2 linked regions of the Sus scrofa genome follow. The main gene of each other region encodes a partner of the protein of the gene in region 2 in a complex. Links are inferred from orthologs where the notes say so. Each region holds a gene or a part of one and is shown on either strand. Other genes may lie near its edges.

The links.
Region 1: PRKG1 (region 2) and CNN1 share a complex: the UniProt entries of both Homo sapiens proteins name them as parts of the cGMP kinase signaling complex. The link is inferred for Sus scrofa from reciprocal best matches to the Homo sapiens genes PRKG1 and CNN1.

Annotation. Positions count from the first base shown.
Region 1 is NC_010444.4:70,175,957-70,190,848, reverse strand, and holds CNN1 (calponin-1), read right to left. Parts: upstream 7,480-14,892; 5' UTR 7,419-7,479; coding exon 7,356-7,418; intron 6,368-7,355; exon of another isoform or gene 6,211-6,367; intron 5,297-6,210; coding exon 5,175-5,296; intron 2,428-5,174; coding exon 2,361-2,427; intron 1,961-2,360; coding exon 1,823-1,960; intron 1,651-1,822; coding exon 1,540-1,650; intron 1,067-1,539; coding exon 920-1,066; intron 840-919; coding exon 594-839; 3' UTR 93-593; downstream 1-92. UniProt on the Homo sapiens protein: Thin filament-associated protein that is implicated in the regulation and modulation of smooth muscle contraction. It is capable of binding to actin, calmodulin and tropomyosin. The interaction of calponin with actin inhibits the actomyosin Mg-ATPase activity.
Region 2 is NC_010456.5:98,786,590-98,801,766, forward strand, and holds the start of PRKG1 (cGMP-dependent protein kinase 1), read right to left. Parts: upstream 6,492-15,177; 5' UTR 6,285-6,491; coding exon 6,019-6,284; intron 1-6,018. UniProt on the Homo sapiens protein: Serine/threonine protein kinase that acts as a key mediator of the nitric oxide (NO)/cGMP signaling pathway. GMP binding activates PRKG1, which phosphorylates serines and threonines on many cellular proteins.

The sequences.
Region 1 (14,892 bases), on a different chromosome or scaffold from region 2:
AGCGTGGGTGGGTACAGAGAGGGGTGCCTGTCTTGGATCCAGCAAGCAACTTTGAGCTCTTTGTGTGTAGAGAGCAGCCCTGAGTCCTCCCATGATTTTACAGCTATTTATTGTGCTCCAGTGAAGTAGAAAAAGAAAGTGCTCGCGTTACAAACGCCACTGTCACATCCCATAGGCCAGCTGCAAACCAAACCGCGTGTGTCCTCTGGGTCTCTGGGCATGCAGTTTGCTCCCACTGCGGGAATGGGGTGGGGGGAGGCGCGAGCCTGGGCTCTGGGGGCTTCGCTTGGGGGGGCTTCTGGTCCGGGGGGGGACCCACCTGTGGGGAGTGGGGGACAGCGGGGTAGCTTTGCTCAGTGCGTCCTTTGGGTGCTGTTGGGAACACCCAGCTCCATGTTGGACCTCGTAGTGCTCCAGGGAGGTGCCCCCTTCCCCCCCACAGGTTCCCCAGTCTGCTCCCCACAAACACTAACCCTGTAGGCAGGTGCCAGGGGGCTGGAGGAGCCATGCAGGGGGAGGGGGTCAGCAGGCCAGGCCAGGCCCACCAAGAGCAGCAGCCAGCCTCCCTGGGGGAAGGTGGGAGGCCCAGCACCCTAGGCAGAGTTGTAGTAGTTGTGCGGGTGGTGGTTGTGGGCAGGTTCGCCCAGCTCCGGGTACTCAGGCGTCAGGCAGTACTTGGGATCGTAGACTTGGCGGGGCAGTCCATACACCGTCATGCCCCGCTGCGAGGCCCCCTTGTTGCTGCCCATCTGTAGGCTGACGTTGAGCGTGTCACAGTGCTCCATGCCCAGCCCCGGCTCGAAGATCTGCCGCTTGGTCCCGGGAGCGGTCATGCCAGCCTATGGAGAGCAGTGCAGTCAGGCCATGGTGACAGTGAGGGGCACGGCCCACCAGCCCACCACATGGCCCCCACACACACCTGGCTGGCTCCCTTGTTGGTGCCCATCTGCAGGCTGATGGTAGCCTGGTCCAGGGGCTGGTCCGTGCCCAGCTTGGGGTCGTAGAGGTGGCGCCGGGTGCCATAGGCTGTCATGCCCTGCTGACTGGCAAACTTGTTGGTGCCCATCTAGGGAGCCAGAAGAAGGGTTACAGAATCTCCCCATGGGCCGGAAGATATAACTGATGTCAGCAGACACTTACATGGCCCTCTAATGAGGCACTGTTTCTACCCTGGGCTACAGACTGTAAACTGAGGCCCAGAGAAGGTGTGTCGCATGACTGCTAAGTGGCCTGACTTCTGGGGTTCAAGATCCAGCCCTGCCAGTCATCACCTGGGCAATCCTGGCAAGTGAGCTATCTTCTCCAGGCTTCAGTTTCCCCATCTATATAAAGGGTACGATGATAACAGTACCCATGCCCTAAGCCGCTGGAGGAGTGAGTTAGGATGCAGAAAATGCCAAGCATATAGTTTAGTAAAAGCCAAACATCCTGTCCCCCCAGAGCCTGCGGAGACCAGGGTACCCTCCAAGCCTCCTCAGCTCCCCCCACCCGCACCCCCACCTGCTCAGCATTGAGACCCAGGTGAGGAAGGGGCATTACCTGCAGCCCAATGATGTTCCGCCCTTCTCTTAGCTTCTCCGGCTCAAATTTCCGTTCCTGCTTCTCCGCATATTTCACTCCCACGTTCACCTTGTTCCCTTTCGTCTTGGCCTGAGGAGGGTGAAGGGAGGCAGGGAATCTTTGGGCTGCATTGTCCCCTCAGAAACCCTTAGCAGTCAGCAGCACCTGCACTGGCTCAGGGACACAAGTGGGCACACCCGCATCCCAGTGCAGAGCACCCACAACCTCTCTCCACCCATGCCCACCCTCCACCCACACTCACCATGCTGGCCAGGGCCAGGAGCGTGGACTGCACTTGTGTGTGGTTGGTGTTCTCGAACAGGTCGTTGGCTTCAAAGATGTCGTGGGGCTTCACCCCATACTTGGTGATGGCCTTGATGAAGTTGCCAATGTTCTCCAGCTGGAGGGGAGGGGGGCAGCAGTCAGGGATTGGGAGGGCTGCGGGGGTGGGGACTGGGTGGAGGATTGAGGGGCTATGGGCCAAGGGTTGAAAGAGTTAAGAGAGGAGTTCCCGTTGTGGCGCAGTGGTTAATGAATCCGACTAGGAACCATGAGGTTGCGGGTTCAATCCCTGGCCTTGCTCAGTGGGTTAAGGATCCGGCGTTGCCGTGAGCCGTGGTGTAGGTTGCAGATGTGGCTCGGATCCCGAGTTGCTGTGGCTCTGGTGTAGGCCGGTGGCTACAGCTCCGATTAGGCCCCTAGCCTGGGAACCTCGATATGCCGCGAGCGCAGCCCTAGAAAAGATGAAAAGACCAAAAAAAAAAAAAGAAAAAGAAAGAGTTAAGAGAGTCGGGGCTCACCTGGTGCCAGTTCTGGGTGGACTCATTGACCTTCTTCACGGAGCCTGGCTGGAGCTTATTGATGAACCTACAGGGAGTCGAGGAAGGGAGTGAGGAAGGTGCCCCCTGCCGCCCCCACCCAAACAAACCCAACTCCAGTGGGACAAGGGGGTAGGATGACAGTGGGCACCATCCTTTTTCTCTGTTTCTGACTGCACTCGGCCCTCAACTGCAGCCCCGCCACACCACCTTCACACACACAGGCACGTCCAACCTCGGATCAGTCCCCATCAAAAAGCCTCCCTATCAAGGTCATATCAGAATCTCCAGATGTGCTCCCACCTCTCAGAGGACCCTTTTAGTCTCCTTTTCTCTTCTGGGCCTCTACCCACGGAGAGCCCGCAGCTCAGAACTGAGGCCTCTTCTCTGGCCACACGCACTCCCTTGATCTGAGTCTTGCAGCCGCCTCTCACTCTCCATTCCAGCTTCCCACATGGGCATCCCAAACAAAAGCACCCCCCCAGACTAACACCCACCTCGCCCCACAGAACTCCCCAGCCCAATAAACTCGCCCTTCCAGGCCTCAGACAAAGCCCTCCACCGCTCTTGACTCTCCTTTCTCTTTCTCTCACCCCCACATCCAACCCCTCAGCAACTCCTTTGGCTCTGCCTCCTGAAGACTTCCAGAAGCCCTGCTCTGAGCCACCAGCATCTCTTGGGCTTTTGCCATGCCCTCCCCATGGGCTCCCAGCTTCCACTTCATCCGCTCCAGATGCTTGTCATACCACCAATAAAATGACCTTTTTTTTTTTTTCATTTCACTCTTTTTTTTAGGGCCGTCCCTGTGGCTTATGGAAGTTCCCAGGCTAGAGGTCAAATGGGAGCTGCAGCTGCCAGCCTATACCACAGTCAGGGCAACACTGGATCCCAGCCACATCTTCTACCTACACCACAGCTAGTGGCAATGCTGGATCCTTAACCCACTTAGTGGGGCCAGGAATCAAACTGAGTCCTCATGAATACTAGTTGGGTTCTTAACCCACTGAGCCACAACGGGAACTCCTAAAATGGCCTTCTTGGAGTTCCCATCACAGCGCAGAGGAAAGGAATCTGACTAGAAGCCATGAAGTTTCAGGTTTGATCCCTGGCCCAGCTCAGGGGGTTAAGGATCTGGCATTGCCATAAGCTATGGTGTAGTTCACGGAATCGGCTCGGATCCTGCATGGCTGTGGCTGTGGCAAAGGCTGGCAGCTGTAGCTCCAATTGGACTCCTAGCCTGGGAACCTCCATATGCCGCAGGTGCTGCCCTAAAAGAAGAAAAGCAAAAAAAAAAATAAAATGGCCTTCTTAACACAACTCCAGTTACTCTCCATTTTGTTTTGGTTTGCTTTATTTTTTTGTTTTTGCTGCACCCACTGCATGTGGAAGTTCTCAGGCCAGTGATCCAACCTGCACCATGGCAGTGACCAGAGCCAATGTGGTGACAACACTGGATCCTTAACCCACTACACCACAAGAGAACTCCCTACTCCCCAGTTCAAAGCACTCCCATGGTTTCCCACCATTTTGAGAATAAAAGCCCAATTCCTTCACCTGGCTAAGGGGTCCTGTACCATCTGACCCCCAGCTAACTCCCTCCACTTTCCCTGATCACACCAGCCTCCTCAGTGGTCCTTGAATCCAGGAGGCACGCTCCCACCTCAGGGCCTTTGCACTGGCTGTCCACTGGCCTGGCCCACTCTCCCCTAAAATGGCATCCTGGCAGCTTCCCTCACTTCATCCAAGATTCTGCTCCACTGTTACCTCTTCAGAAAGACCTCCAGACCATTCTGTACAAAGCAGCAACCCTTCATCCCACCCACCCCCAACCCCTGTCCTTTTGGGCTGGTCTCTTCTCCAAGGCATTTCCTGTCACAGGCAAGTATGTGATTATTTCATCAGTTCTTTGATCGATCACCCCCACTAGGATGAACGCTCTATAAGAGCTCCAAGTCAAGTCTGTTTTATTCACTATTCCCAGTGCCTGGACCTGGCTGGCAGGCATACAGCAGGAGCTCCATAAATGCACCTACTCCATACATGGGTGGGTGGCTCTGCACTCTTTAAGGCCTGGGACACCAGGCCACTCCCAGACTCCTCATTCCTAGTGGATACAGTGGAACAAATACCCCCTTCCCACTGTTTCCAACAGCCAGAGCTTGGAAGGCTGCACCTTCAGGAAGCTTCCCAAGCACATGCTCTGACCCTCATGGTCAACCTGCCCTGGGTCAGACTCAGAGATGCAGACAGGACCCCGGCTTGGCTCAGGGCTCAGCCCAGAATTAGGGTTATGAATCTGGAAGGTGGAATCTAGAATCGGGGTTTGGGAGCTGTAAGAGTTTGCATCTCCTTGGTGATTAGGTTCTGAGAGGAGTGCAAAATCAGGGCCCATTTAAATTACTATGGCACATCCCTCAGATCCCCAAACCAGTGTGACAGTCATTGTGGCCTGGTGCCTTTTAGCTGGGGAGTGGCAGGGGGAAAGGCACCTCCCTTTCTTGGGGCTCTGGAGGCCATAAATGTGGCTGCCCTGTATGCCTGGCAGTCCAGTCTCTAGATTCTAAAGTAATTTCTGTTGGAACAGCATGGGACATTGGGTGATGTGTTTTACCTAACTGAGCCTGTGTTCTTTACTTTTAAATGGGCACAATGACTATCTGCCACCTTAGAGTTCTGTTTGGAGGTATCAGATATAAAGTGCCCAATCTAGTTCTGAGCTTATGGTCGTTTGAGGGGTTCAGCGAGCAGAGGTGAGGGGTTAGGGGGGCTGCTCAAGGCAGAGTCTGGGCCACTTACTCGCAAAGAATGATGCCATCTTTGAGGCCGTCCATGAAGTTGTTGCCGATGCGGCGCCCTGTCACCCCCTCGATCCACTCTCGAAGCTCCTGCTCCTGCTGGTGGTCATACTTCTGGGCCAGCTGCGGGCAGGGGACACAGAGAGGGTGGTGAGGACGCCATGGGGAGCGGGGTTGGCTCCCAGACCCAGTCCAAGCCTCCGGAGGCCTGATCTCTTCCCTCCTCCCTTCCCAACTAAGGCAATTCTGCCCCAGCATCCAATGAGGGGGGACAGGGGCGGGGTGGGGGTTGGGGAGGGTGCTGAGGGCCAGGGTTGAGGTGGCACCTGCCCAGGGGGCCATTCCAGGCATTCTGAGGTTTGGCACCAGAGAATGTGGACAAAGGGGTGGAGAGCAAGATACTCAGAGCTGGGGGGTGGCGCCTGGACTCCTGGTTCCCCCTCCAGACCAAACTTGGGGCTTAGCTTCCCCCAGCCCTGCCCCCCTCCTGGAAGCCTCGGGCAGGGGAGGAGAAGCCCTAAGGAGGTGCCCCCCCAAAAAAAAATGCAGCCTTGCAGGGAACAGCTCTATCTTCCATCTCTGTGTCTGTCCAAGTCTTCATCCCTAAGGCTCCCTCTCTGTCTGGGGGCAAGGGCTTGTCTGTCCGACTCCTGGCCCCATGCTTGTCTGTATTTCTCTGTCTCTCTCCCCATCACCGGATGTCCTCTATCTCTCTCCCAGCTCTGTCTTTCCTGGGCCCTGTCGTGCTACCCCATCTCTGCTTGTCTGGCTGGGGGTGGGGCTCCTGACTGGTCCATCTCTGCCTTCCTAGGTCTCTCTCCATCTCTGACTCCAGGTTCTTTGCTTCTGGAAAGGGTGGGGCTCGTCTGTCTCTCCGCCTCTCCCTCCATCCCTGTCTCAGTCTTATCTCGCTCCAGGCTCGCCCTCCCCCATCCGTCTCTCTCAAGTCCCAGGCTTCCAGAATCCCCGGCTGCGTCTCTCCCCGCCGCAGCCTCCTCTCCCACTTTGCCCCCCTCCGTTTCTCCAGCACCCTCTACCCCAACTCCAACAGGCTCCCGGTCCCTGGAGAGCCTTTCCAAGAGGAGGGGGAGATGGGAGGGAGCGGCCCCCTCACCTGGCCCCGGCCCTGCCGCCCCCCTCCCCACCAGCCCGGCTTTATAAAACAAACCGGCCCTTATATAGCACGGCCCCGCGGGCCGGGCTCCGGAGCCCGCCTTATATGGCTCGGCGGCTCCGCACGGCTCTGGGGCCGGCGCTGGGGGGAGGGGGGGCGGCGCTGGGATCTGTCCCTGGCTTGAGCACCCGCTCCCCCCGCCCCGCCCCCTCCTCCAGAATCGAGGATCCCCCCGACCCAGGTTGCCAATCCCAGCTCCCTACCTGCCGCCTGTGGAACCCTGGGAAAAGAACCCTGAGTCTCAGTGGTCCCCTCTGTCAAATGGGGCTGAGACTCATGGGAGAGCAGACAGGGCAGCACTCATGGGAGAGTTCCAGTGGTTTGGGGACGTCAAGCTGGCTGCCATGGAGAAGCTGACCCCATTCTGGTGTGTGTAGAGGGGGCAAGTTCAAGGGCCCAGTTTGGCACCTCCCTTATGTAGGACCCAAGCTACTTGCCTGTCCTCTCTGAACCTCAATTTATCCATCTATAGCATGAAGGTGTTGTCCCCTCCCCCTTTCTTGCCAACTCCAAAATTAGGAGACCCCTGCTATGTCCCTAATGCCCACTCTCTGCCCTCCCCAGATGTTTCTCTCTCTTTTACAATCTCCCACACTTTGGGGCCTCACCTCCCAGGAACCCCAGCTCTGGAGCACTCCCCAAATTCTGTGTCAGGCTGGGAGTGGGGGCAAAATCAGGTCCTTCCCCAGCCCCCCAGGATCAAAAAAAAAAAAAAAAAAACGGTTAGTAGAGGACCCCAATCAAGTGGGGTTTTCACAGTGGACCAAGTGCCTCAGTTTACCTGTGACTGCCTGCAGGGCCCCCATTTCGCACCCCAACAGTAGCTGATGGCTCTGGGATGCTCAGGCCAGGGAGGAAGGCAGCACCTTCCCCATACTCATCCCTTCTCTCTCTTAGTTCCAAGTCACATGGGATCAGCAGGAAAGGGGTCCAGGGAACCCCAAGAATGGGACCTCTGGCCTGGCAGGGCAAGTGGGCCAGGCCTGGGGGGAGGCCCTCCAGCCCTACCTTGTTCTTGACCTCAGCCGACAGCCCGTAGGCGGGGCCTCGGTTGAAGTGAGCAGAGGACATGCTGGCGGATGGTGGGCAGCGGTGGCAGTGTGCGCTGAAGCCGGCGGCAGCAGCTGAAGCTCCGTCTGCACCCTCTTCCCTCCTCACACGTTTTTGAAGCTCTGGAGGCGGCCCGGGACTCTTCCAGGACCGTCCCATTGGCCATAGGGGCCTGCCAGGGGGCGGGGCGCCCCCACCTCGGCCACCCCCCTCTTCGTGATGTCAGGGCCTTGGTATTGGGAGCTGATTGTGTCATTGTTTCCACCTAGGGGGGCAGCCTGGGTTATTCTTTTGAGGGGGGGCTTGGCCAGACAGAGACCAACCTTTCCCCACTCCCCACTGTTCACTGGGCTTCTGGCTGGGTCTCCTAGTCTCTTTGTGTCTGTCTCTGAGGCCATCTCCCCATGCCTCTGAGGCCACTTCTCTTCATTTCTCTCCAGTCTTGAGACAGGACTGCCTGCCACCTGTGGTAGTTTATCTAGCACCATTCTAAGTCCAGACACCAACCGTCTATAACTGTAGGCAAGTTCCCTCCCTTCTCAGAGCCTCTGTTGCCACATCTGTGAAATGGACTAATGACAATGCCTGCTCATGAGAGTGTTGTGAGGATCAGAAGAAATAACGCCTCCAACATGCCCAATACATTGCCTGGCACACAGAAAGATTCAGGAAACAGCAGTATTTCTGCTGAGAGCCTGGCACCCCACTTCAACCCCTTCCACTCCCTCATAAGGACTTGGGGGAGCAGAGATCCTGGATCTTACCCTGTCCATCCACCTGTGGGTTTCCTGAACCACGGAGTGAGAATGTTTGTGGGTGCCAGGCATCCCTATATCCCTGTCCCAGATAGACTGGCCTGGAGGGAACACCTACAAGCAGCCCTGCCAGGCCAGATCTCACCCCTGGACCACAGGGTGGATGACATGCCTACATCATGCTACATATGTCAAGACCACATTAGAACACTTGGGGTCAGCAACCTGCCATTCACTAATAATATGTTAAGGACATGCAATTTGCTGGCCACATGCTAAGGGGTCAGCTGTGATGTGCTTATATGACAACCGTCTGTAAGTCAGGTCCTCGTCCCAGTGTTGTATATGTATCATCAATTCATACCTCATGACACCCTCATAAGTGGATGCTGCTATTATATGCATTTTATAGATGGGGACACTGAGGGCGTGGAATTCCTTTCCCAGTGCCACACAGTTCACCAGTGGCACAGCAGAATATGAATCCCCAGCCTCTGCCAGTAACACTATGGGGCTAAGGCAGGATTTCTCAGTCTTGGTACTGTTGACATCCTGGCTGGATTATTCATTGTGGCGGGGGGCCATCCTGGGCATTGCAGCACTTTAAGCAGCATCCCCAGCTTCTACCTACTCAGTGCCAGGAAAGCACTCCTCTCCCCGTAGTCTTTACTTTTTTTTTTTTTTTTTTTTGTCTTTTTGTCTTTTTGCCATTTCTTGGGCCACTCCCACGGCAAATGGAGGTTCCCAGTTGAGGGCTCGAATCGGAGCCGGCCTGTGCCAGAGCCACAGCAACGCGGGATCCGAGCCGCATCTGCAACCTACACCACAGCTCACGGCAACGCCGGATCCTTAACCCACTGAGCAAGGCCAGGGATCAAACCCACAACCTCATGGTCCTAGTCGGATTCGTTAACCGCTGAGCCACGACGGGAACTCCCCCTCCCCTTAGTCTTGACAAACAGAAATTTTTCCAGATATTGTCAAATGTCCCTAGGAAAGGTGGGAGTGGGGATGGCGGCAGATCGCTCCCATTTGAGAACTAGTGGGCTAAGGCAACTAGAACAAGTCGATGGCGTGTAATGATATGTTGAAGATACACTAACACATATAAAATGAGCTAACAATTAGCTCCTGCTAAGTACTTAGTGCTTCGGATCCGTTAACTCATTCCTCACAGCAGCTGGATGATGTGATGTCTATATGATACACAGAGGGTGAAGGTGACTGCAAGGTGTCACACAGCTCGACGGCGGCGGAGCCAGGATTCATACAAGTATATTCCGGGATCCTGCCCACGCTGAGCGACCCTCTGACGGCCACAGGTCGCTAATGCGCATGCGAGGTCCAGCGCCTCGCCCGAACTCGGGGTCAGCGCCCCCTGGCGGCCTAGCAGGGGCGGGGCGGGGCTTGGAAGCATCTTGGCCGTGATGACGCAACGCTCTGACTCACTTGGCCCCGCCCCCCAGCCCGCTGCCGCTTGGCCATTTATAGAATCCGCGCGGGCTCTGAGGTCAGGGCCCAAGCACGACGTGGGCGGGGTAGGGGAGCACTTGGCCTGACCCCAGACGGGGCAGCCCAGGGTCTCCCTAGGGGGCAGCCCTTTTTGGGTGCGTTTGTCCCTCCTATTCTGGGTCAGAGTCTCTGTATCTTTTGCTCAGTCTTTTGGTCGTTTTGTCGCTCTGCGACGCTTAGCCTTTTTCTGCCTCAGCCTTTGTCTCTTTGTCTCTACGAATCTGCCAGTGTCACTGTCTCTGCCCTTATCTCTGCCCCCATGTCTCCCCTCTCTTATCTCCATTGCTATGTCTCTGTTTCTCTTCCACGTCTCTGGGTCACCGATTTCCCCTATGTCTCTGTATTGTCTCTGTGCTGGATGCGGGGAGAGGCAGAGAGAGAGACTTGAGCCAATATCGAGGCCTCAACCCCTGAGGACTCCCCCATTACTGGCTGACTGATGTGCAGTCTGCTACTGGACTCCTCTCTGGCGTTTCTCTGGTCACAGCCCCTCTGTGCCTCAGTTTCCCATCTAAAATGGTGGGCTTCCTGGAGTTTCCAGAAGAGTCCAGGACAGTCATGAAAGAAAAGCCCTGCCTTTCCTTAATCTTAGGAGATCCCCTAGAAACCTCCAGACTCTCTCAGAACTATCTCTGTCTCTCTCTGTCTCACACACACACACACACACACACACACACACTGCCCTTTTCCAGGAGAGTCTCACCCCCTCCCCCTGCACTTGCCTATCTTGGCAGCAGGGTTGGCCATCCCCCACCAGCTGTCCCCTCTCAAAATGGCTTCTGTTTCTGGACAGCTCACTCCATGCTAGGCTCTGTGCCAGGCACAATCTCACTTAATCCTCATCACCACCCTCTCTGGGGTGAATAAATTCTTAAACCCTTTTTATAGATAAAAAAAACTCATAGGAGTTCCAGCGGTGGTGCAGTGGAAACGAATCCGACTAGAAACCATGAGGTTGCGGGTTCGATCCCTGGCCTTGCTCAGTGGGTTAAGGATCCATCGTCGCCATGAGCTGTGGTGTAGGTCGCAGACGCTGCTCGGATCCCGCATTGCTGTGGCTCTGGCGTAGCACAGCAGCTGCAGCTCTGACTGGACCCCTAGCCTGGGAAGCTGCATATACTGCGGGTGAGGCCCTAGAAAAGACAAAAAAAAAAAAGGAAACTCATGGTTCAGAGATGGCAAGCGACTCTTCCAGGGTCACGCTGATCCTGCTGCTCCCAGATCCCTCCACATGATCTCTTAGTGCCCAAGTATGCTCTCACCTTTGCAGTTCCTTCCACCAGGACACATTTCCACAAGACTTCTGCATGCCCTCATTTCCTCTCCTCAGACGCCCCCTCTTCAGAGCGGCCTTCCTGTCCATTTGCTCTAAAATACTAGCATAGGAGTTCCCCTCGTGGCTCAGTGGTAACAAAGCTTTATAATATCCATGAGAACACGGGATTGATCCCTGGCCTCACTCAGTGGGTTAAGGATCTGGTATTGTCATGAGCTGTGGTGTAGGTCCCAGAGGCAGCTCAGATCCAACATTGCTGTGGCTATGGCATAGGCCAGCAGCTGCATCTCTGGTTTGACCCCTAGCCTAGGAGTTTCCATATGCAGCAAGTGTGGCCCTAAAATGACAAAATAATAACAGCAATAAAAAATACTAGCATACCCACACCACCCCCACCCCAATGACTGTGAGAGGATGGGCAGTGGGGAGCTGTTCACCTAAATGTTTGCACCTGGTAGTTGGCCTTCACAAAATCTCTCTCCTTCCTTTTTTTTTTTTTTTTTTTTTTTTGCCTGCACCCACAGCATATGGGAGCTCCTGGGCAAGGGATCGAAACCAAGCCTCAGCAACAACCTGAACCACTGCAGAGACACAGAGACAATACCAGAACCATAACCTACTGCACCACAGCAGGAACTCCAAAAACTCATTTTCATAAGCGATTTTATAAAAACCTCCCCCCCATTCTCTCTTCATTCATTGCTTTTTCTTGTCATAGTCCTTTCATCTTGCAAGCACAGAAATTCCACAGAGGCAGAGCTTTGCTTGTTCTGTTCACAGCTCTATCCTCAGTGCCCAGAAGAGTACCTGCACACAACAGATGCTCAAAAAATGCTGAGTAAATGGAATTAAAATTGGTGAGCCAGGACTTGAACCACATCTGTTTGAAATGTTGGTGCTTAACCATGCACAAAGAAGGGCATAAATTCCCAGCACCTCCTAGATTGAGGACAGCTGAGGTGAGGGTTCCCTTTGCATTTTCATTCCAACCCTCCCCAGAAGACCAGGAGGAGGAGAGAGAAGGGTTGGGTCACAGGCTGTGGCTGGGGTTATTCCGGGCTGTTTTACAGCTGCCCACGCCCTTGTCCAGCCTTGAGCTTTGCAAGATGTTTTGTAGGAAAAATGTCTGGTGGAACAAGAGAGCTTTTTTAAAAAGTGGACTAGATTGGCAAAAACCAGTACACCTGACAACACACAGTGCTGGGGTGGCTTAGGGAACATGGTTCATGGGTATGGGCAGCTTGTCAATAGCTTTCAGATAAATGTCCTCATCTTTTGTGGTGGTTAATTTTAGGTATCAAGCTGATTGGGTCAGGGGATGCCCAGATTCTTGGTCAAACGTTATTCTGTGTTGTCTGTGAGAGTGGGTTTTGGGGGATGGGGGGGCCTGCGGGGGGGGTGCTTGTTTTTTTGGCCTTGCCTGTGGCATATAGAAGTTCTTGGGCAAGGGATGGAACTCAAGCCACAGTAGTGACAACACTGAATCTTTAACCACTAGGCCACCAGGGGACTCCTCTGAGGGTGTTTTTGAGTGAGATTAATATTTGAATTTGCAGATTAAGACAGATTACCATCCCCAACATGAATGGGCCTCATTCAATCAGTTGGAGGCTTGAATAGAACAAAAAGGCTGATACCCCCCTCGACACCCCCCCCCCCACCAGAGTCCAGTAAGAAGGAACTCCTCATGCCTGACTGCCTTGAGCTGGGACATGGATCTCATCCTGTCTCCAGACTGGAACTGAAACATCAGCTTTTCTCGGCTCTCAAGACTGGCCAGCTCTTGGACTGGCACTTATATCATTGGCTCTCCTGGTTCTCAGAGCTTCGTTCTTGGACTAGAACTACATCATCTACTCTCTTGGGTTTCCAGTTTGCCAACTGAAGATCTTGGACTTGGACTTCTCAGCCTCCATAATTATGTAAGTCCATTCCTTATAATAGATCTGTGTCTGATATATATATATGTGTATATATATATGATTTCTATTGGCTCTGTTTTTCCAGAGAACCCTACCTTTCTAATATACCTTCTGAATCAGCACATCTCCTTTTTAGGACATTCCTAAGAAGTACAAGTTTGGGTGTGAAGAATGACATTATTGCAATGACCTTTTAATAACAAGTCACCCTATAGATCTATCAACAGGGAACGTGTGAAAAAGACAAAGATGATGGCAGAATATGCAGCACTGTGTTTCCACTAAATAAACGCATTGTGGTGCTATGGTTAAGAGTGGGGGCTTTGAATCCATAGTCCAGGGGTTTGGGACATTTCCTGGTGTTTCCTGGCCATGTGACTTCAGACAGGTGTCTTAACTTCTCTGTGCCTCAGTTTCCTCCTCTGGAAAATGGACATGTTAATAGTGTCTGCTTCAGTAGGCTTGTTTTTAACTTTTTATTTGGAGAAAATTTTAGGCTTACAGAAAAGTTGCACAAATAGCACAGAGTTCCTATATACCCTTCACTCAGCTGCCCCTACTGTTAACATCTTACATATACATAGTACATTTATCAAAACTAAGAAATTAACCTTGACACAATACCATTAATAAACTACAGACTTGGTTTGGATTTCTCCAGTTTTTCTACTCATGTCCTTTTTCTGTTCCAGATCCAATCCAAGATCCCACACTGCATTTAGTTTTCATGTCTTCTTGGACTCTAGCCTGTGATAAAGGCTAAAGATTTTTCATGACCTTGACTTTTTTTTTAAGAGTGGGGGGGTAAGGTGGTAAGGGGTGGTGGTGGTTTTGTTAGTGGTGGTGGTTGACCTTGACACTGTTGAAAAGTGCTGGTCAGTAGCTTTGTAGCCTCTCAGTTTGGTTTGTCTAGATTAGACTGGAGATTTTGCATTACTGGAAAGGATACCAGAAAGGTGATGTCTCCTTCCCATACCAAGGGCTTATGATGTCACTATGACTCATTGCTGGTGACGTTAACTTTGATCCCTTGGTTAAGGCGATGTCTGCCAGGATTTCTACTGTAAGGCTATTTTCCTCCAGTTGTTTTGAGGGCTGCATGTTGCAGGATCTACACCAGAGCTTCACATATACTATTGTACTGTTGTTAAATACCTATGTATATGTAAATGCCTGTGTTTGGATCGACTCCTTCTGGAAGGGCAAATAAGAAAATGAGAACCGCAAATGCCTCACTAGGAGGAAGAACACTGGGAGCTCTGAAAGACCGTGGCCAAGGTGGCGGCTCCACCACCTCCCACCGGCGCCTTCATCCACCACCCAGCAGAGCAGAGCTAACTGTGCCGGCTCATAGCTGGGCAAGCCCAACAGAGGGCAGTAGCACTCCCAGCAGATACCCAAGTGGCTGTCAGCGTGCGGGGGTGGGGTGCTCAAGCCTTCCTGGACCGTCAGTTGATTGGCTGCCGACCCGTTCAGATCTGCCAATCACAGGAATCTTGATGAGACCGATGTGCTTCGGCTGTGCAGAGTCGTTGAGGCGTTCTAAGGGTGTCTTTCTGTCCCCATGCCAGCGCCCTGAGTCATGGAAACCAAAGAACTGTAGAAGTGGCTTTAGGGCGGGGCAGATAACCTTCCTTGCCTGGAGCCTCTGCCAGCCCCACATTTTAGTGCTAATGTATTTGAGTTATTAACAGCCTAAAACCTCCGCTTTCTAAGGGAGCCCAGGAGTCCCGCCTCCCCCACTTCAATCTGATCTCCTAACATTCACTCCAGTCGAACCACACAGGGCCTTCGCAGTTGTTCCTTGTGTCCAAAGTGTTCCCCAGATCCCCATATGGTTCACTCACCTCCTTCAGGTTTGTTCGCTTTTTGTTTTTGGTTTTTAGGGCCATACTCGTGGCGTTTGGAGGTTCCCAGGCTAGGAGTCCATTCAGAACTACAACTGCTGGCCTACACCACCATAACATCAGATCTGAGCCATGTCTGGGACCAACACCACAGCTCATGGCAACGCCTGATACTTAACCCAT
Region 2 (15,177 bases):
TGAATAAGGTGGCAATGTGTATGTGTGTGTGTGTGTAGGTGTTTGTACATGTGCATATACACATACACATTACTCATACACATGCCTATACACATACACATTAACGCACACACATACATAGCTCCTTTTCTCTTCAGGGATCTAGCAGCACAGGACATAAGCAAAGCTGGGCTCAAAGTCAGTACTCGTTTTTGACAATCTCCAAACTTCTGAGCTTTCACTTTTGTGAAACAGGATATGCAATCCCTGGTTTATCTCAGAGCTCACAGTAACTTCCAAGAGCTACAAGAACCCCAGATAACAAAGGGTCCTGAACTCTGATAAGCAAATTCTCAATGGCAAATGAAAATAATTATTCCTACTCTGAGCAACTATGAAATCACCTGAAAACCTTATCAAAAGAAAGGCTTTTTTAATGTACTCTCAGCATCTCCTACACAGTGCGGTGAGAGGGCACTGGGGAACAGGCACTTAGTCAGGAAAGAGGAAAAAGATAGAACAGCTTTTGTTTTTTCAGGTCTGTTAGAAATATTTTCATGAGGGTCAGTCCAGTCTCTAACGAACACATGATTAAACGAAAACATTCAACCTATACACATATCAATGAGTCCGAGAGAATAAGAATTCCTGATGTATTACAAATATATCTGGAAAATATGCATGATTCCAGAACCCAAACCAACCCCAGAGGAGAGTGGATTTGTCTTAAATAATAAATACAAACAGAGCATAACTGGGAGATATCAATTCACCAGCTCCAGTATTGATGCAAAACAAAGAAACCTACATTGTCTTTTTGGTCCCATTTCTGAGATCCCTTAAAAGGCATTTCAGGAATGACTTGCTCAGCTTTCACAGCACTGAAACCAGGGTACTGTCTGCCTCCTGTATTGCTTTGGCTGAAAGTAGACATGAGGTACTTATGCTCAGAACCTGCCCTCCTCAAATTAGGGTCAAGACACGGGGTCTTGACAAGCCATTCTGCCTAAGGATCCTCCCCTCTCCTCCTCAGCTTTTCTCCCTTTTAAAAAACTCTCACTGTAAATATTATGCATCTGAGTAAGTGAAATGAATGTCCTCTCCCAGAGGCTCCTGATAGAACATTCCTGTGTTAATCCAGAAAGGATAACTGGTTAACATACTGGTATGCTGTCAATTAGTGATAAATTCCTTTGGATGGAAGGATGGGTAGGAGCGAAGGGATTAGCAGGAGGGATCTGGAAGGGAAAAGGTTGAGTGAAGGATATCCAGAGGCAGCGACCAAGATCATTTTCACATCCTTTATAACTGCACCATTCATTGGTACCACTGTGACATGACACTGTGCTAGTGAAACTGTGTGAGGAAGGAAGAAGAGGGAAAGATCTGGAAATGACAATCCAGGACCCACTGAGGAAATTCTGGCCTGGTATAGGACACCCAAGGCACAGGTGCTGGATGCAAGAGCCCATGGTCACTTTTTTATGAGGTCAGTTTCGTGCTGGCTCTCAGATTATTTTTAATCCTATTCTAATGTAGGGCAGGTTCATTTCTTCCTATGTCGAAGGATTCACCAGTTAGTAAGATGGAACTGGCTTGATTCCAAGGCTACAGAGGGTAGCAATTGAGAACAGGGGCTCTAAAAACTGCAGAATCTGAGTTTGAAACATGTCTGGCATTTCCTAACTCTGCGATCTTAGGCAAGTGACTTAACTTCTTCAAGCCTCAGATTCCTCACATGAAGAGTAAGTATGTGATTTAGGACTGCTGGGAGAAAACAATGAGCTACTGAAATAAAGAGCTTAGCGCTGTGTTCAAATAGCCAAGATTAGCTATCTTTATTATTCTTATCATCACTATTTTAAAGCGTTGTGTATTTTCTCTGTGAGCAATTATTAAGCTGGGCCCAGAATCCAGCGTGTACTCGCTCATTTCACTGAGGTTGCTTAAATCAAAATTAGGCCAAATCTCTTGATTTAGTCTGAAGGTTAAACCAGCTGAAATGAATCAGAGATGCAAAAGGCAAAGAGTTTTCTGGGGCATCCATTCCAAAGCATCCAGGTCCCAGTGGAAGGATGTACAAGTTCCAAATGATGAACTGACATCACCAAGAATCAAGGGATTTGTGACAGGAATAGCTCAAATGACTTTGGAATACAATATATTATTCCTGTAACAGATAAATAACGATTCCAGCCTTTTGCTTCGGCTAATTGAGGAACAACAACAGTATGCAGTCCTCCGAGCTAACTAGGTGGTCAAAATGAAGAATGGAGGTGTATGTTAAAAAAAAAATTAGGGGAAGAATTAAGGATATTAGGCAATTCTTCTTTTACGTTTTTTTTTTTTTTCTTTTTCTTTTTAGGGCTGCACCCACAGCTTATGGAGGTTCCCAGGCTAGAGGTCGAATCGGAGCTATAGCTGCCGGCCACAACCCAGCCACAGCCACAGCCACAGCCACGCCAGATCCAAGCCACATCTGCAACAGCTCATGGCAATGTCGGATCCTTAACCCACTGAGTGAGACCAGGGATCGAACCCGAAATCTCATGGTTACTAGTTGGATTCGTTTCCCCTGCACCACAGCGAGAACTCCTAGGCAATTCTTGATATGGTGTATATGCATGCAGGAAATCAAAAGTTCACAGAAAACTATGTGAAATACTCAAGGTTATTTGGCAGAAAGTGATATATATAAATGTAAAATATCATCATCGTCGTCATCCAAAACAGCCTAGTTTTCGATGATAATCACTTGATCTCTACTGGGCACTTCTAAGAGGTCTGCAAATGGGTACTGCAATAAGTCGGATGTTTTCTTTTTAAACACGATCATCATACTGTACACTTGATACTCATTCTGAGAGCTCAGATCTTCCCTTTCCCTAGTACAATTTTCATCTAAGCATTCCTTAGATACTTAGATCATTCTTAATGGAGATTGTGCATTATACCCTCTGTGAACGCATGGAAATCTGGCTAATTGGACTGACTTGATTACAACAGTCGGTGAATTCTCCCATTTCCTTCCACTACTGTAAATGCTTAAGATATTTTTATCACAGATTATGTAAATATTTTAGATTGCAATCATTTTCTGAAACAGTGGTTGCAGGCAAAAGCTCTTTTATCATTCTGCCCACCAAAGAAAATTCCTATACTTTCAAGATATGTTTCTTGTTAGTATTAAAAACTGGGTGTCCTAGCAAAGTTTGAAACAAACCTGTAGCATGAATAGCTTTCACTACACCCTATGGTAACTGCAACTGAACAGTCGCTTTGTCATAAATTGGTCTCTTTCAACCCCAGTAAGCGCATAAGGACAGCACAACCTTTAACAAAGGATACAGGAGGTGATGAAATATCTACTCCCCAAAACTGAATACCGGAAAATTAGCAAATATACTTTAATTTTGAAAGCATCTTGTTTGCTGTTAAATGTTGTATCCCAGAAATGCTTTTCAAATTATTTCTTTTCTTGGCCAAAATAAAGTGTCTCACCAAATAATTAAGTTAGTACTGTCTCTTTAAATGCTGGGATGAGTCCTTAATTCCAGTGGTTACTATCCTCATATATTATTGCTGTCAAAATTGAGTCAGCTTGGTGAAAATACACTCCACGCTTCTATTCGAAAGTGTAAAACTAAGTGCTGAGTGGGAAAAAGTTTACCCTCAGTGCCAGGGTAAATCAGCTCGGAGAGAAAGTAGAAAAGCACTTCAAGCTACTTGCTGCAGACACAAAATAGGCTCCCGACCTCTACTGCGCATGATCCACTCTTTTGATGACCGTTCCTACCCCTAACCCGAAAATGCTAGGAGTTGGGGAGAAGGATAGAAAAAGGAAGATGGTGTGCACGTAGGAAAGATCAGCCATTTCATCTCAATCCACACAAAAACTGCCTCTCATTCCTCGGGAGACTTCCTATCAAGGAAAATAGAAGTGTCCCTTTGAAAGCTAGCTCCTGAATGAGAATGGACTCTGGGATGGGGAGCGTCCTCTTCTGTCCTCTCCAGATCCCAGTGAAATCCCTCCTTTGCTGTTGAGTGCTGCTGGTGGGGCAGAGTCCAGACACAGATCTGAAATTTCAAAAATGCGATAAAGCCCCAGCCGGTCAGCCCTGGGAGGCGAACAGCTGCCGGGTGACCGCTGATGAAGTGGCTTCTTAAGGAGGTGGGCAGATTGATTCCAGCTGCTGAGCGCGGGGCAGGGCAGCGGCCGAGGAATGCTCAGCTCAGCTGAGGCAAGAGGCAGCAGCTTCCCAACCAGTGGCAAAGCCAACTATTAGCTCTGATTGCCTTCTTGGCCTGAGAGAAGGAAGAATGCCTTTGTTCCATCTGACAGGGACTTTCGAGGCAGCCCGAGGCCAAAAGGTACCATGTGGACAGTGTCATTTTATAAGTGGAGTAAAGCTCAGGAAATCTGAGTGTTGTTCTTTGAGATGGTTCAGTGAGAGCCACCAGTTCCCAAGGTGAATCCTATCTGCCTGATTCCTGGTTCTCTGCCCCCAACCCACTCCCAGCCTCTAGCTCCTTACCCCTACCCAGTCTCCTTTGCTCCCTCCTCCCCTACCGAGCACACAAACACTGTAATCAGTACGCAAGACAGGGACTGGGTGCGCTGGAGGAGTGGGGAACACTGAGAACCCTCCAACTGGCCTAGATGGTCAGGACAAGAAGACATGGTCTTTATAAGCACTGGCTTCAAAGTCAGAGAGCTTAGGGGGAGCGACTAATTTAGGGGTCCCCTGAGGGCCCCAAACTCAGACACCAAGAGGGAAGGGGTAAGAGGCAGGCGGGCATGAAGGCAAGCCTAATGGAATATTCAATATCCTGCGAAATGCACTCTCGGCCACGCACTTCCAGAGACTAAAAGCCAGTAATGGGCTTTGGAGTCTGCACTTCCTCTCCCTAATGTCCAGAGGCGCTTTAATGCTGCAGCTAATCGATCAGTCTTCTCCGGTGAAGGCAGCGAGTGCAGAGCAAAAGCTTCCTACTTGTGGCCAAAATCGCCCGGCCCCCTCTACACACCCCGAAAGAGCGACACACAACTTTGAACTGGCAGGATTTGGCTCTCGACGTGCCGGAGGAGGAAAGGAAGGAGCCTGGAAGCGCCCAGAGAAATAGCTCCCCGCCCTCTTTATCCCAACTTTTCCAAGGAGAGTCTCAGGAGGAAGACAAATCAGGCGGGGGCATTATTATCCACCTTGGGCTGACCAGTAACCCCCAACCTGCTTCAGGTGCAAGGTCATCTAGCCACCTCCAAGCCCAGGGCAGCCCAAGATGTGGCACTTCTGGAAGGGACACAAACTGAGCAAAGGAACATCCAGAAAGGGCGGGGGGGCGTTCTTTACAATTTCCTGCTGACATCACTTGCTGCCTGGAAAATGACCCTCAGAGGCTGATCCCTACAGTGGAGACGCACCCCAGCCCCGCCTCCCTTTGCCCACCCCCTCCGCGCCTTCCCAGCAGGGCTCCTGCTCTGGACAAGTTCTGTCCCTAAATTGAACCTAACCCTGCTCAACCTCCTGTCGCCACTCCCAGGAGGCTCCCGCGGCGCACTGAGCATGCCCTGTGGCCTGGGTCTTGGTGGGGGGGTCACCTCCAGGAAGGTCTCCAGGCCCGGAGATGGGCCGGGTTGTGTGCCTGAGTGGGCGCCCCACAGGGGTGCGTGAAGAAAAGACCGCGCGACGGCGTGCAGAGTGACCAAGTTAGCCGGCGCGAGAAAACTTTCCACGCTCCTTCTCCCCACCCCCACTCCGCAGGGGCGCGTCTCTCCGAGGAGCTTGCCTTTCCCAGCCCGGCGGAGACAAGCACGGCACGTGATGGGCAGAAATAAAAATAAACACTTCCCATTCCCCGCCCGCGAGGGCCACCCCCACTCGGCGCGCTGCGGACAGCAAGGGGCGCCGTGCCCGGAGCCGCCCCCCCCGCCGCCGCCGCCGCCGCCAGGAACCCCCAGCCCCTGAGCCGCCGCCTGGACGGCCACCGGGCCCGCCGGCTCAGAGCAGTGGCCACGCTCCTGCCCGCCTCGGCGCCTACCTTTCGGATTTGGTGAACTTCCGGAATGCCTGTCGGAGGTCGTGGAAGGACCTGTACGTCTGCGGCTCGGCCGAGATGCCCTGTGCCCGGGTGGTCCGGGGGCCGATGTGGGTCGAGGGCACGGGCAGCACCGACTGACATTTATGGAGCTTCCTCTTCAGCTCCTGGATTTCTTCCTCCTTCTCTGACAGCCGCTTCTCCAGCTCTTTGATCCTCTCCTCCTTGAGCATGAGAATCTTGGCAAAGTCTTCCTCCAGCTCACTCATTTTTTCCCTGAGCCCCTCTGCAAAACTTTTTCTCGGGCGGCGGCGGCGGCTGGGACGGCAGCCGGGAGAGGCGAGCGCGGAGTGAGTGAGTGAATGGGCGCTAAGTACTCGAGCGCAGCGGAGTGCTGCCCCTAATGCGCAGCGAGAAGCCGATTTCTTCGATCCACTTCTGCTGAATGGACTGAAAGCACCGAGGGGAGGATGAGAAGTCTAAAAGCGATGGAGAGGAGAGGCAGAGTGCTAATCCCCAGCCTCTCCGGGGAATAGGTGATTATCTTTCATTGAGAAACCAATTAGAGCTGCCCTTCCTCCCCTGAGACCCCCCCTCCCCCGTCCCCCTTTCCCAATCACTTCGTGAGAACACGGCGCAGGCCACCCCACCGAGAGCCTGGTTTCTAGCTGGGAGGGTTGGACCAGTGAGCCTGGTCTCACCCCATCACACAATAATCACTCTTCCACGCTATATGGTACCAAAGGAAAGGGGTGGGGTGGGGTAGGGGGGGAGCTTTATGCCACTTGATCCTTGAAATAGCAACAATTACCATGTGATCTGGCAGATGACGCAGCGCTTGTAACTGGAGCCTAAAGACTTTGTGGGGTGTGTGTGTGTGTGTGTGTGTGTGTGTGTGTGTGAGTGAGAGAGAGAGAGAGAGATTTCATAAGTCTTAAACTGCCTTTAGACAATAACCTGCATGAATTCATCGTCTTCACCTTTTCTTATCTGCTCTGGATGGTGAGGGAGGGTATGTGTGAGTATGTGTTTCTTAATGTGAAGCCCCGTGGTTGTGACCCTAAGTAATGAGAATGACAGGGCACTAGCAGGTCTAGGTTTTTTTCAGCATAAAATGGTAGTGGAAATAGTAAACTAAAATTGTTGGTGGGGAAGTTGGGTGAATATGCATAATGAGTCAAACGTTTACCGAGAAGAAGGCCATGAATTGATTGTAAACTTCTTAGACTTTGGATTTTATTTCTTTGGCTATAGTTAAAATTTGTATATTGAGCATACAAATTATATCGCAGTACCATTCTGTTTGGTTGTGAAGTGAGGGCCACCAGTGTTAAACTACTAGCTCATCCTACAATTCCAGTTTTAGGGAGAAATAGGGTCTGCCATTCTCATTTGTCCCTCACCTATTCATCCATCACCACAGCCTCTGCTAAAGGGATTTTTATCCACACTGGAACCGAGAGTATTTGTGATTCCTGCACTTAATTTTTTAATATATGTCACAAGGAGCATTTTCATAATATAAACCACTGTTTAAGAGTTTGGGTATATAGGAGGAGCATTTCTTCAGGTAATGATCCACAAATTAATGCATCTTTTTTCAAAGGAAAAACATAGGTGCAAAGTAAGATATCAAAGTGATTTTGTAGAAATAATAATTTTTAAGAAGAAAGATCAATGTACAACCACTGTACTTTTTAAAACATTTTATAATGATTTTTATTTTTCCATTATAGCTGATTTGCAGTGTTCTGTCAATTTTCTACTGTATGGCAAGGTGACCCAGTCACACATACATGTATACGTTCTTTTTTTATATTAGTTAATGGATTTTATTACATTTATAGGTGTACAGCAATCATCACAACCAAATTTTACAGCATTTCCATCCCAAACCCTCAGTGGGTCGAGGGTTTTTTTCCTCACATTGTCATGCTCTATCATAAGTGACTAGATATAGTTCCCAGTGCTACACAGCAGGATCTCATTGCTTATCCACTGGCTACTTATTAATAAAAATGTTTTTGCTTCATTGAAACACTGAAGTAAAGGAAAAGCAGTCATCTACTTTGGTTTATAAATAAACCCTAAAATATATTTTATTCTGAAGATTTATACTGTTAGTTCTACTCATCTAATTGTTTTAAATTAAAAGCATTTTAAGCCATATTGAACTTCTTAAGCTCATCAGTTGCTCAAGACTGGCTACCGTCTACTCATATTTGAGAAAAGGGTTTCTGTCTTTACATTTAGTATTCTATTACTTCTATCTATGGAAAACTTAATCTGTTTATAGTCCTTTTAGAAAGGCTCAAAATAATTGACATTTAAGAATACATTAGAAAAAAACTTTTCTCACCTTCAAAAATCTAGGCATAGGTTCAATTTTATTTGTGGAAGATATAGAAATAGTTTTAAAATGACTCCTAAATGGACAGGTTTTTTTTCAAGTTTATACTAACATTAAATGCAGATATTCAAATATGTTTCTCATGCTTATTAAAAAAAGAAACTTTTTGACTAAGTTTTCACACATACCTCGAAACTCTAAATTCATACCTATCTTTAAAAATTAATATTTTTTAAATAAACCAATTTTAACTTAAGTAATATTGATACCTAGTGATTTTAAATCACGTCCATCGGCTTATGAAATATTTAATTTACAGCACAAGGAATGCTTAAGAAAAGACAGCCTGGTAGACGAATAAACATTGAATTATTAAAAAATCATAGCCTTTAAAATCTATAAGCAACTTTAAAGATGATCCAACCACTTCATATTATAAAGGAGAAAAATGAGATTTTGAAAGGTGAGGTCAAGATCACCCAAGGGCAGAAGTTTGAATCCAGGATTACCCAGGCCATGCAGCTCCCAGCTTGAAGCCTGAAAATCTAGAAATTCTATGATTCTGACAATCTAGTGTTAAAAAATGTAGTTTTATCGTTTGTTCTTTGCTTTTAAATATGTAGTCCTAAGTTTCAACTATCAAAACACAAAGTGTTAATGAAGCCTTAGATTTTTTTTTTTTTTCCTTAAAGGAGAAGGTCGCCATCTAGTGCCCTTGGAGAAATTTGCCAAAAAAAAAAAAAAAAAAAATCACAGTGAAGTAAGGCTAGGTCCTTAAATATCTGTACAAGTGTTTTCATGCTCCATGTTGGAGAGAAAGAAAAAAAATATCCAGAATTTTGTGTCAGAATAAAAGTTTTTTAAATTACAAGTTTGAAAATCTTTTAGCCACTGGATAATGACGAGAGTGGTGATAAACATTCATTGAGTATTTAATATGTGCCAGCACAGGGTTAAATCCTTGATGTGACTAGCTGGTTTTAACCCCACCATGACTCTATAAGGAAGTATTATTATTCACTCTCATTTTAAAGATGGAGAAACTTATACCCAGCCAAATTAATTTGCCCATGGCCACAGTGCCCAGATTTGACCCAGGCTGTCTTAATTCCTGTACATACTGCCTCTACCTGAAATGCATTAAAATGCCCATTTCTCTATGAGCCCAGTGACAAGCAAAACTAAAAGTTCTTTGTTAATGGGAACATGCTAAATTTAAAATCCTATACAAACCCTGATAAGTATCTAAGACTCTGGCTTCTCAACAACCAATCTCTTGACCAAAATTGTTTTCCTTAGGGTATTTTGGGATATATTATACATTCCATATACAGTTTCAAATGTTTATTTAAAAAATACGTGTACCTTCAAATGTTATGATGGTGCTTTCCCTCTCTACCCTCACCCCTCGAATAAGGAACGCTTTCTAAAGAACCTGAAGCCTTTTAGATGTGAGTAGCTCATAGGGAGCTCCTGTCCTTTAATTCAGATTAGTGTCACAGGGCACATTGGGAAGACAGTGTCTATAAAGAAAAAAATTCCAGGACAATAATCAAACTGACCAAAAGTCAGTCTTTTTTATTATCTTTTTTATTATCACTATGTGCCAGGAGTTCTCAACAATGTCAGTGATAAAATACTCCTCCCCCCCAAAGTATATTATTGGTCTAAGTTCAAGCTATTGCTGATTTATTGTTGATTGAGGAGGCCACTCCCATTGCCCCACCCTTGGAACAGCACTGACCTTGGTGCATGTTACAGCCATCCAGGGTGAAGAAAACAGTCATGCACAGATGATTTATGGGAGGTCCCAGGGTTGGCAGTAGAGGGGTGCAGAAGAAAGTTGTGGAGAAATGAAAATAGATATGTGGTCCAAGTTTTAGAAATGAATGAGGTAGAGGTACGGGGAATTCAAGCCGTCTCGTTTCAGTACCTTACATCCAATCACTTCTCTTGGTTAAAAAGATGACAGTATTTGTGGAAATTTGCATGCAGTACTTTTTTTTTTTTTTTTTTTTTTTTTTTTTTTTTGTCTTTTCTAGGGCCGCTCCTGCGGCATATGGAGGTTCCCAGGCTAGGGGGTCTAATTGGAGCTGTAGCAATGCCAGGATCCAAGCCACGTCTTCAACCTACACCACAGTTCACAGCAACGCCAGATCCTTAACCCACCGAGCAAGGCCAGGTATCGAACCCGCAACCTCATGGTTCCTAGTCAGATTTGTCAACCACTGAGCCACCAAGGGAACTCCAGCATGCAGTACATTTTCTATCAAGGGATGCAACTGGTGAACTAAGAGTACTGGACTGTAACCAAAAGGTCTATATTTATGTCTTGGTTCTGTCACTTTCCAAGCTGTCTGCTCTCAGGCAAATCCCTTGACTTCTCCAGCATTCACTTTTCCCATTTGTAAAATGGGGAACGGGAGTCAGCTTGAGTCCATTTCCTCTTTCTCCCTTCAATAGGTCTATGGAATTCTGCTTTCTCTGTGACTCACATTTTGAAATTATTAGTTTGTTCTTATTGACAACATTCAGCTGTGTCCTTTAGCTGAGTTTAAAACTGAAAAGAAAGATTTATGATGGAGTATGGTTGGTCCTATAAACATTATAGTGACTTTGTGATTAACAGAAGTTTGGAGCATTTTCAGTTAATTCTACATCATACTAGATGTGGCTTCAACATTGTCACCTACATCACATTCTGGTGACCATAAAGTGTGGTCACACCTTAGGCAAGATAAAAGCTTGAAGTCCTGAAATACACCCACACCTATGTTAACCACTATGCAGAACATGAAAATAGCAAATGAAGTGTTGCCTCAGTTTCAGTTTATTGAATTTACTTAATGTATCATAGGTTATTTTTTTTCCCTAATATGTCCTGACAGAAAACCATGTATAAATTCTTTTCACTACATGGTCCTTTTGGTGTAAATGTAGTTCTTTCTTATGCTGCATGCCAAATCCTGAATGCCTTTCAGGATTTTCTGTGATTGCTGTCTAGGCATTTGAAAAAAATTTCTTCCTAGAAATTCTGAAAAATAAAACTAAGAGATGATCGTTCTTAAATATTGTAGAAATCAAACTCTGTAATATATTAAAAACTTTGGACCTGTAAAATGGAGGCAGAGATGCTATGGGACTTTAGGCAAATAATTTTACCCCTCTGAGCCTCAGTTTTCCCAAATATAAATTTGACATATGGATAGTAAATTCTCACAATTGCATCTTTAAGGCTCAAAGTGCCATGACAACAAAATGTTATTGTCATTTAAATGTGACCCTACATAAATAACAAACAAAATGGTAATGGATCTTCCACTTTGATTCTTGCCAGGGAAAGTAGTCCAGTTAGGGGTGGAACAGCCTGGCTTGGTGGTGGTGGTAATATTTATACTACATTCAGCCTACTCATTACTTGTGGAGTCAGAATTGAAAGACAGCTCACAAGCTTCTCACCACTTGATATATAGGCAGCTTCTACCAGTCATTCAAACACTAGTCAAGGTGCTGCTATAAAGGCATTTTGCAAATGTAATTAAAGTCCCAGGTCAGTTGACTTTACGATAAGATCTTCTGGGTGGGTCTGACCTAATTAGACTGGGTCAGGACTGGGCTCTTCCTGGAGACAGAGATTGTAGGCATGAGAGGGATTTGACTCAACTCAGGGAAGATTCTCCAGTGTGGCTTTTGCTGACAGAAGGGACTGAATGACCAGGAATGCAGGTGAAATTTTAAATGCCGAGAATGACCATTGACAATCAACCAGGGAGCAGGGACCTCAGTCCTATGACCACAGGAAACTGACTCCTGTTAAAACTACAAGAGTTTGGAAGAGAATCCTGAACTCCAGATAAGAATGATACATGGCTGACACCTTGATCTCACTTTGCTCCAAGGACCTAACCATGCTATTAGCTCCACAAATGTAAGATAAAAATTGAGTGTCTGGGGTGAAGAAAACAGAACTCATTAAGGGTGCTCTTTAGCTGCTGAAAAATAGAAGCTGGCTATTCTTGGAATTTGGTTTAAAGCTGGACAGATTTGCTTTGTTATAGGATCAAAGCTTTGTCTTAAGTCCTCATTTTCTTTTAAAATTGAATAAAATCTCTGTGTACAGAAAAAAAAAAGTGTCGTTTTATGTCTCTAAGTTTGTGGTAATTTGTTAGACAACAATATAAAACTAATGAATTACTCAACTACCATTTTAAAATGTCCATTAAAAATGTCAGAAATGTTTTACCACTCTCAGAAACCTGACTTTACAAAAGAGTCATTTTTAGTGAAATTACTTTTAGTACATTTCAAATGGATACTTGGGGACATAAAAAGTTGTTATAAATTATAAATTGCTTGAAGTACACTGATGACAAAACAAATAGCCTTTTGAGAATGACAAACTCTCTTCCATAAAAGATGTTTATGTTTAAAAGTTGTGCCTTAGTATGACTGAAGTATAAATCCTTCCAACAATAGGTTCTAGAAAGTGTTGGAACCGCTCACTAGCTTCAATTTCTATGTAGAAATATTATCGTAGTTTACCTTAGGTAGTGAATTTACTCTGTGACCTTGGGCAAATTATTTCATCAGCTGAGCCTTAGTTATCTCATCTGTAAAATAGTATTATGTGTTTTATAGTGCATTTGGCTCTAGGAGTACATTTTTGGCTCTGGAATTTAAATATCTTAGATTCTTATTCATTGGCTGTTTCCATAGTCATTCATGGAAATTAAATGCCTCTACATCATAATGCCTTCCAGGTTCAGGTGCTAATCAAATATTTGAGAAGAAGTCTGGGGAAAGAATACAAATCCTTTGAGTTTAGCCATGTGTTTGCTTTGATATTTTGATTTGATTTTTAAAGTAAGTGACATTGGACTCATCTATGTAGGACTCCTTTTTTATAAATTGTTACACGATTTAGAAAGCAGATGTACACGATATGGAATTCAAAAAAAGCGAAGGACATCCAATGAAAGGTAGGTCTCCCTCTCATCCGACTCCCTAGCTACCCAGACTCCCTTTATGAAGGCAACCACTCGCTCTTACCGTTGACTTGGGCGTGCCTCATTAAATAGCATATCCATATATAAGCATATTTGTATATAAATATATACATATATTTTTAGGGCCACCCCTGTGGTGTATGGAAGTTGCCAGGCTAAGGGTCCAATCAGAGCTGCAGCTGCTGGCCTACACCACAGCCACAGCACGGCATCCAAGACACGTTTGCAACCTACACCACACCTGGATCCTTAACCCACTGAGTGAAGCCAGGGATTGAACCCACATCCTCATGGATACTAGTTGGGTTCATTACCACTGAGCTATGATGGGAACTCAATAAATAACAATATTTTACACAAATTTGGCATGAATGATTTAATATCTGGTTTGTATGTTAGCCTATCGCCTAACTTGGTGCTATCCTTTCCAGACTCTGAAACCCCTGGTCCAGTGCAGCATGACACAACTAACCCACTTTGTGATAAAATGCTTAGTAACAAGGCACAGAGACTGCTGCATCTAGAGAGAGTGTGCCCTTACCTCACACAAGACTGTAGGCTATGGGACTATATGTTACAGGACTATAGGCCTTCTTACCGTAAAAAAAAATGGCATTTGGTGTTTTATTAAATATTTTAACAACAATTAGAATGGTCTGATACTTTAAAAGAACAAGCAAATATTATTACATATGTATAGGATTTTAAGGATATGATAAAATCACCTCCAGTCTTAATTCTTACCACCTGCTTCTCATTGATGGAGACATTCATCTGTGCTCATCTCTGGTTATTTCAAATTAATAGTTCCCATGTAAAAAAGCTAACTATTACCAGAGATAAGGACCATTGTATTTTGACAATCTTTCAATCTGTTGTAACTATCATGATTTTTCTTGGTCTCTAGTCAAAACTGCATAGTTCAATAGTTGATTTAATACTTTTTTTTTTTCTTTTTGCCTTTTCTAGGGCCACTCCCATGGCATATGGAGGTTCCCAGGCTAGGGGTCTAATCAGAGCTGTAGTGGCCAGCCTACACCAGAGCCACAGCAAAACCAAATCCAAGCCGCGTCTGCAACCTACTCCACAGCTCACGGCAACGCCAGATCCTTAACCCACTGAGCAAGACCAGGGATAGAACCTGCAACCTCATGGTTCCTAGTCAGATTCATTAACCACTGAGTCATGACGGAAACTCCTCATTTAATATTTCTAATGCACAGGAGACACATTTATTTGGAAATTATTTTATCAAAATGTCGTCATTTATTATAAAAATATATAATAACTTCTTTTTATATAAAAAATAGTTCCACAGAACCTACAGTATTCCAAGAGATATTAACACTCCTATTTACAGGTAATATTCCCAAGTGCTGTACTGATTATATTTTTCCCATCTGTGTTATATAGGGCTCCGTTTCAACAGCCTTAATAAAAGGGGGAAGGTGGTAGAAACATTCAAAACTTTCTCATAATAATATTAAATCATTGCATAAGTTACAATGAAAAAGTCTTTCTTTGCACTGAAAATTGCTTTGGCTCAGCAGAACTCTCCCCTTTCCACAGCATCTTTTCCAGCCACCCACAATTTGCAGAGAACAGAGAGGCGGCAGAAAGACAAGAGGATATTGAACTAAGAAGACACAGTACCCGCTACCTTTCATTCAAGACTTATCTAATAAAGGGAGATCACTTTACAATTCCCCAGGCAGGCAGACATTACTCAGACTGTGGCTAAAATCGTCAGCAAGAAACTCTGCCAGGAATACCTTCATGTAACATGAGGTGGTGCTGGAGAGAGAG